Linked DNA regions of Chlamydomonas reinhardtii. The main gene of each other region encodes a partner of the protein of the gene in region 2 in a complex. Links are inferred from orthologs where the notes say so. Each region holds a gene or a part of one and is shown on either strand. Other genes may lie near its edges.

Region 1 (4,345 bases), on a different chromosome or scaffold from region 2:
ATTCCAGCACCCCATGCTGCCTCTCTGCCAAGTGCCAACTGCCCAGCCTGCACGCCGCTCCAGCACACACTCACACTCACGCATGTCGTCTCTAAAGTCTAACCCACGCTTTCGCTCGCGTAATCCGTCACTCTGCCCCAACATCATTGTGCAGGCCTGACTGCAAATCTGCAATGCCGAGTCACGCTGCCACTGCCAGGCAGCGATGCCGTATCGTAGCGCCCGTCACCCGGCGCCGGCCCCCGGCAGGAGGTCATTTCCCCGAATTCCCCCCTCTCCATTCACTCCCACGATCCACTCCCACGATCCACTCCCCTATACACCGCACCCCCACGCCACACACTCCCGTGCACGCCCCCGTGCTTTGCCGCCCCACAGCCGCTCAGCTTCCGGTGCCGCCGCTCAGCCGCACCGCCGCTCAGCTGCTTGCGGCGGCCGCCGCGGCCCCGGGCCCCATTTCCCGCGCTGCTCAACCGCTCAACCGCCTCTCAGCCGCCTCTCAGCCGCCTCTCAGCCGCCTCTCAGCCGCCTCTCAGCCGCTTCTCAGCCGCCTTTCAGCCGCTTCTCAGCTGCCTCTCAGCTGCTCAGCTGCTGGCGGCTGTGGGCGCGGGCAGTCCGGTGGCCTGCGCCGTGAGCGCCGCGGCCTTCTTGGCCAGGGCGGGCGGCGCAGGGCCAAAGTACTTGCGCATCTCGTAGGCGTCCTCACCGTCGGCGTAGTACTTGCCCTCGATGTCGTAGATCCTGTTGAGTTTGCATTTGCGGGGCGGGGGTTTTGACTTGGACACGGAAGACGTCCTCCCCGTCGGCTTCGGGTTCCGGATCTCGGCTACTTGGGCTTGGACTGGAGGCCGCGACCCCCGATGCCGATCCTCGACATCGACCCGGACACCCCGCCTCTTCACCGCGACACACACACACACACACACACGCGCATACACACACACGCACACGCACTCAGCCAGCCCCACACACACCACGCCCGCCAGCCAGCCCACTCACTGGTAGCCCAGGGTCTGCGTGTACAGGTGCACGGCCACCTTGTTGGTGACGCGCACGTGCAGCGACACGTACTGCGCGCCGAACACCTCCTCCATGGCCTTGTCTGCAGGCAGAGGGGGGGCGGGAGAGACAGCGGCGGGTGAGGGAGCCACTACAGGGGATGTTGTGCCGACACCCTTCCCAGTCAAAGGAATAAACTCGCCCCCCCTCCGCCTCGGCCCCAGCCCCGCAGCCTCGCCCCTCGCTCGCCCCGCCAACACCTCCCCTCCCTCCCCACGGCTCGCACTCACGCGTGGAGCTCATGAGCTTTGTGGCCAGGCCAAGTTTGCGGTGCGTGCGCGCCACCGCCACCGAGGTGATGTGTCCGTGCTGCTCGCTGGCCTCCTCCTCCCTGGGGTGGAGGGCGGGGGGGCAGTCGGGTGGGGGTGGGGGGTTACATTCATGATTAGTTAAGGAAGTGGTGGGGGTGGGGTGGTGGCGGGGATGGGGTGGTGAGCTTGCTGCGTTTGGTGGGGTTGGTGGGGTTGGTGAGGCGTGTCGCGTAACGTAGCATTTCCAGTTCCCAGTTCCTGTAGCCCCCAGCACCCCTGTGCTGCCACTGCTCAGATCTTTGGCCAGCACGTATCTCCCCTCCCCCTTATGCTCGTATCCTCCGCCTGTCACTCAGATCTTTGGACAGCACGTATCTCCCCTTCCCCTTATGCTCGTATCCTCCTCCTGTCACTCACATCTTGGCCAGCACGTATCCCACAATCTTGCCGTCGTAGTCCTCCGCCACTTGCAGCAGCTGGGGCCAGGACAGGATGTGGTACAGGTAGTACTGCAGGCGAGTTGGAGGGGGAGTGGGGGAGGTGAGGCAGGCGGCGGAGGCGGCGGAAGTAGGCGTGGGGGGGAGGTGGAAGGGGAGGTGGAAGGGGAGGTGGAAGGGGAGGTGGAACGAGGGGTGAGGTGAGGTGTCGCAGGCAGCCGCATTCGGCATTCCCCTCCCCTCCCGCCTGCTCCTCTCTCCACCACTGGCCTTTGTAGCGCGCGTGGGGCTAGCGCGGCGTCATCAACTCTGAGGGCTGAGCTGCAGGCTGCATGCCCTGTTACGTGTTAACCCACTGGGGCTGAGGCCGACTGGCTAACGCACTGAGGGTGCAACCGCGCCCTGGGCTGATTGATACACAGCTGTCTGCCAGCCCCCCATGGAGGTCTCATCGAGAGGTCTCATCGTGAGGTCCCATGGATGTTTCATAGAGGGTTGTGCTGCCTCCTGCCTCGTGCGTAGGCGCACAGGAGTCTCGCTGCTGCGAGCACGCCCCACCAAGTCTCGGCGTTCTACACGTGTGGGCATAGGGTGCCGTCCCTTGCACAGCCCCCAACAGCGCTGTGCTTAATTACACCGGCCTCCCGCAGAAGAGCCTCCAAGGCAGCTCTTACCTTCAGCTGGTAGTTCTCAGGTAGACTGCGGGACACAGCAGGAGGCAATTGGGGCGTGGGGTTAAGAAGGGTGTCCAACATGGCATGGCCGTGTCAGCGGCTGCGCCTGCCACACGGCGGCCCAGCCGCGCTGGTCCCCGGATGAACCGACGCAGACTCACCACAGCAGGTTGCACCGCTGCATCTGCATTAGGTCGTCAATCGTTGCTGGGCGAATGCAGACCATTTTTCCTCGGGGCGATCGACAACCCGATCAGGACGCGTGAAAGGCCAGCAGCTTTGAGTTTTGTATTTGTACAATTAACGAGACGAAAACCTTGTATTGTGTGGGCACAGCACGAAAGCGCGGCGGCTTGAAGGGCGGGCAGGTTACTAGACTGGACGAAGTTTCAAATGTATACAGGGAAGTATGGTTTGTAGCGAAGGTGTCCCACGAGACTGAGGGATTCAACGCAATCGGAAGGTTTGATGCAGACGCCCTCCCCATGCTATTCTGCGTGCTATGCTGAGCTTTTTCTCATTGTAATACAGTTTGTCATCAAGACATATACATAAAGCAGCAAAGCCATGGAGGTAGACGAGGAGGCTGGAAACTACTCCATCTCCAACATCGACGCACTGGACGACCTATGTTTGCAGCACATAGCGTCATGCACGGAGTCTGTGCGAGTAGGTGCCTTTGCTCGCCGCGGGGGTGGGCGGGGTGTCGTTTCGGCGCTGGGGCGTACCGAAATCCAGCTTTGCTTTCTCCGCAGCCTGCATGCGGGTTTCGCGACAGAAACGCAAAGCTTTTCGCGATGCACACGGAAATAGCGAATCTGCGGGCCCCACTTGCCCAGGGTTCTTGGGGGCCTGCTGCTGACACGGGGGTATGTGGCCTCTCTCGCCGTGGCGTTGCAGGAGCTCTTAGGGCTGGCTGGCACCTGCAAGCGCCTGAAAGCAATTGTGGACTCAGGTGGGCTGGGTTGAGAACCTGTCACAGTGTCACCCGCGCCAGGAACCGCCGTTGCTGCGAATCGTGCTGTCACAGCCCTGCCCCTGCGCCTGCCCCCCCACCCCACCCCAAACCGAACCAAACCGATGAAAACCCATTCCTGGTTGCGTCTGCATGCCTGTGGCTTGCTTGACGTGGTGAATCTGTAATTGCCTGCCTGAGACCTGCTTGATACCTGCCTGATACCTGCCTGAAAGCATGCCTGAACGGCTGCCTGCTACTGCTACTTCTGCTGCTACTGCTGCTGCAGCCGACCCCGCCTGGCAGCGACGCATCTTGGCGGACTTCGGTCTGCCGGTGCAGGTGCGTGTGTGTGTGTGTGTGTGTGTTGTGTGTGTGTGTTGTGTGTGTGTGTGTGTGTGTGTGTGTACTGCTGTGTGTGTGTGTGTGTGTGTGTGTGTGTTGTGTGCGCGGCAGCAAGAGCCAGGTAGCAAAGACAGCCAGCTAAGACGCTCCATGCAGTACGACTTGCAAAGCCACGATGTTTGCCGTATCGCAAGGAGGGCAGTGTGGGACCTTCGGCGCGGGGACGGGCGGCAGTGATGACACACGCCGTGTCCTGCCGTACGCCACCTGCCGTACAGGGCGTGGGGCTCAAGCGGCAGTACGATGTGCTGCGACACGTGGCGTATGGCGGGTCTGACGCCCACGTGCGTCACGGCGGCGGCGGCGGCGGCTCCAGCGCCGCTTCCCGCTCCGGCTCCGAATGCACCAGCCCCACTGGGTTCCTATCAGCAGCAGCAGCAGCAGCAGCAGGGGCAGGGGCTGCTGGGTTTGGAGGCGCCGCCGCCGCCGGGCCTTCGGCGCACCCCGCGCACTCGGTGCACTCGCAGCAGCAGCGGCACCCGCACCCGCAGGCGGCGGCCGGAGGCGGCGGCGGCACCTGTGTGCGGCCCTTCCTGCCGTTTGAGGGCGTGTGCACGGACGGTA
Region 2 (3,392 bases):
TGTCGCTTTTTAGCAGCAATAGGCTAGCCGGGCTTATGTGACTGAGCTCCAGGAAAGCCTTGGACTCTAGAGAGTCAGAGCACGAGTGGTGGCGTGCTGCTGATAGCAGTTTGCAGTCGGCAGCTTTGCCGGCGTAAGAGAGCGGTGAGGTTGAGGTTAGCAGCGATGGGTGTGTGCGCGCGACGGGCGTGTGGGCGCCATGACTAGGTGGTGCCGTTGGCGTGCGATTGCTTGCACACAAGTGGGCAAGTCAATGAGTCATTCCCGTCTTACTCTGTACCTGGCAGGGAGCAGTGTGCGCGCCGGCAACGTACCGTAAGTGTCAATCTTAGTGTAAGGTGAATGCTGTTTTGGAGTTCTGAGATGCCGGGGTTGTCCCCCCCCTCCCTTCTCCTTGAACGGCTCTCCCCCCCCCCCCCATGGCTTGATCCGTCTCTGTCAATTTCGGAGGATAGCGAGGTGCCAGGCATAGTGCCAATCACCACGCATCGCTGTCAGGGCTGGATTACCGGTACGCGTGGTGGGCTGCAGCGTACAAGTGCCGGGCTATGTCCGGCGTCCGAGCCACCAGTATTAGATTGGCATCGTGACGTGGCCTTGCCTTTTCCCCTGCAATCTGCCGACGTTCGCTTCGTTTCACCGCAGTCCGGTGACTGCTGCAAGGCTGCAACTATGCATGTTAGAGCGCGTTCTTACACGCAAGGGCGGGTGCCGCTTGTGGCACTTCGCGTTCCTGCCCAAGTCGATGGACCGCGGCGCTGCCCGGATGGGTAATGCCTGCCCGCTCCGGTTGCGTCCGTGTCCCTGATATGCCAGAGATGAATGCGCACCAGTGCATTTTGAGGGCCGCACGCTTCAAAGCCACCGCCAGCGCTTCGCAAAGCCACACAGGGCTGGCTGCGCGGTCCGACATCGGCACCGTGACAGTCTTTGTTGCAGCCGCAGCCGCCGCACATGCCGAGCTAACTGTTTCGTCCGTAAGCACACTGCACAGATGCGCCTATCTGGTCGCAAAGCCTAGCTGGTCGCAGAATTGCTGTAAATCAACCCCGTCCACTCCCCATTCGCAGAGGTCAACCCTCCGCAGGTGTCAACCGCAAGCCAAGTCCGCCCCGCTGCCGTCCCGCTCAGCACCCCGCCCACCCTGCGTCCAATCACCCACACGCCCACACACTATTCTCATGTGCTCTCTAACACACCCGAGTCCCGCAGCCCGACCGTGCTACAACCCGCACTCCTGCTGCTGCTACAGCCGCCTGCTCCTGCTCCTACAGCCAGCCATACCCGCTGCTGCTCATGTTGCAGCTCCCGGTCCGGCTGCTCAGAATGATAGCTTGCCGAACGCCTCCCGCATGTTCTCAAAGTCATAGCTGGGGTCCAGCGCCATTTGTTTTGACCCGCCGAAGTAGCGCGAGTGCGGGTACGCCGCAGCGCAGCCCGCCCGCCATTTGTCCGCCGCCTCGGCCACGCCCCACTCGTCCCGCAGCAGGCGGTGCACCTCTACGCACTGCGCGTGCAGCGGCCGGGAGGCCGGCCTGCGCAAAGGGGAAGCGAGCACGGAGCAGAAGCGATGGTGCGAAGGGAAAAACGGACATGGCCAACACAGCACGGGAAGAAGTAAAAAGCGAGCAGCGGGAACAAGGGGCTGTAGCCAGCGTGCGCCAACCAACGCAACGAGGCTACGCAGGGGCCAATACGCACGCGAGAGGTGCAGGCCTCGCAGCACACGCAAACGCACCCGTACTCCGCCGCGCCCGCCGCCACGTGCGCCGCCGCCGCCGTCCGCGCCGCCGCCGACGGCGCGCTGCCCCCCGTCTCCGCCAGCGCCACCATGGCGCGCGCCGCCGCAAGCCGGTGGTCCAGGCTCTTGGTGCCGTGCGCCGCCCGCCAGCGCCCCGCAAACGCCGCCGGTGTGACGCCCGCGCCCAGGAGTTCAGCCAGGCCCGCGCCCACCACGGCCTTGACCACCTCGTTCTCCGGCGGCGAGGCCGCGACTGTGTGGGCGGGATCGGACGTGCGTGAGTTGAAGTGCTTGACGAACATGCAACACGTATGCGTGCATCAGGGACTTGACACGTTGCGGGACACAAACACGGAGCGATGGCGAGCAACCAGCCGCACCAGGTAGGTCCCACATCCACCCGTCCCACATCGGCTGCAAGCAATCACCCGCCATCCCTGGCGCCTGTCCCACCACGACCAGCACAAGCACGCAAACAACGCCCGCGCCTGCCATACTGCCAGCCTCGGCATCACTCACATGCCTGCGCCAGCCGCACCAGCAGCGCGTGCACCTCCGGGTGGTCGGCGCCGCCCGCCGCCTTGGCCTCCGCCGTGGCCGCCGCGTTGCGCAGCGCCGCCAGCGCCACCACCTGCCGCCCCCGCCGCAGCGCCACCTCCGCCGCCAACACGTGGCTGGACAGCCGGCTGCCCGCGTGCTTGACCTGAGCAGGAGCAGGAGCAGCCGGCCGCGAGGGCAGCAGGAAAAACGAGAGGGCAGGAAAAAGTGAGCAGCCTGCATGCTTCCTCCGTGCGGGCGCTGCCGGTAGCGTTTTCTACCAGGCAGGAAGGGCTGGGGTTGTAGATACCAGCCCGAAATGAACCGAACCCAATGCAAAAGGGCGAGGAGGAGAGTGTGGCCTATGCTTTGACAACGCAGCGGCGCTCGACAGCAGTCCCCATCCCCGAAATGCACCGCTTTCCCAGCTTCCCAGCAACCCAGGGGGCTTCACCAGCCTGCCTCCGCCGCGCCATCCCTCGCCTGCGCTGGCTCACCAGCATCTCCACCAGCTTGGCCGCCTCCGCCAGCGGGTCCGCCACCGCCGCCAGCTTGGCGCCCTCCGGGTCGGGGTCGGGCTCCCTGGCGGCCGCATGAGAAGGGTCTAGTAAGTGACCGCTTTCATGTGCGTGCGTGAGCGTGTGACAAGACAGGCGAAGCAAAGGCGTGTTCACGGGCCTAGCACCAGCAGTCGCGCAGTACTCCTGATCTGCGTGCCCGAGAGCGTGCCGGCCCAGCCGCAGCCCCAGCCTACTAGGCAGCCCGCACGGCCCTGAGTCCGCACCTCTTGCTGGCTGCCGCCGGCTTCTTGCCGCCCTTCTGCGCCGCCGCCTTCTCGCGCTCCTTCTTTTCCCGCTCCTCGCGCTCCTTGTCCTCCGCCGCCTTGCGGGCCTTCTCCTTCTCCTGTGCAGCGGCGCGAGCGCGGGGCGGCGGGATGGGCCGGGTCAGGCACGGCACGGCAGGAGGCAAGCAGGCGACTGGCGGCTGCGCAGGAACGCGTCGCCGAAGCGGCTGGGGCCAACCTTAACCCAACCCACGCCTTCGGGTACGATCCTCCTTATCCCGAGCCCCACATCCCGTCCTCCCTCCCTTTCCCCCCTCCTCCCTCCCTCCC

What was found.
Region 1: CHLRE_06g278225v5 (region 2) and CHLRE_08g364450v5 share a complex: the UniProt entries of both Arabidopsis thaliana proteins name them as parts of the natA complex. The link is inferred for Chlamydomonas reinhardtii from reciprocal best matches to the Arabidopsis thaliana genes EMB2753 and AT5G13780.

The regions. Positions count from the first base shown.
Region 1 is NC_057011.1:1,440,788-1,445,132, forward strand, and holds the start of CHLRE_08g364450v5 (uncharacterized protein), read right to left. Parts: upstream 2,843-4,345; 5' UTR 2,648-2,842; coding exon 2,583-2,647; intron 2,447-2,582; coding exon 2,422-2,446; intron 1,820-2,421; coding exon 1,728-1,819; intron 1,391-1,727; coding exon 1,290-1,390; intron 1,103-1,289; coding exon 1,000-1,102; intron 742-999; coding exon 585-741; 3' UTR 1-584. Other genes in the region: CHLRE_08g364501v5 (uncharacterized protein), read left to right, coding at 2,989-3,090, 3,322-3,376, 3,666-3,718, 4,000-4,345. UniProt on the Arabidopsis thaliana protein: Catalytic subunit of the NatA N-alpha-acetyltransferase complex. Required for male gametocyte development, embryogenesis, suspensor development and the formation of the quiescent center (QC) in the root meristem.
Region 2 is NC_057009.1:4,133,699-4,137,090, reverse strand, and holds the end of CHLRE_06g278225v5 (uncharacterized protein), read right to left. Parts: intron 3,182-3,392; coding exon 3,063-3,181; intron 2,861-3,062; coding exon 2,776-2,860; intron 2,445-2,775; coding exon 2,261-2,444; intron 1,995-2,260; coding exon 1,739-1,994; intron 1,536-1,738; coding exon 1,322-1,535; 3' UTR 681-1,321; downstream 1-680. UniProt on the Arabidopsis thaliana protein: Auxiliary subunit of the NatA N-alpha-acetyltransferase complex. Required for male gametocyte development, embryogenesis, suspensor development and the formation of the quiescent center (QC) in the root meristem.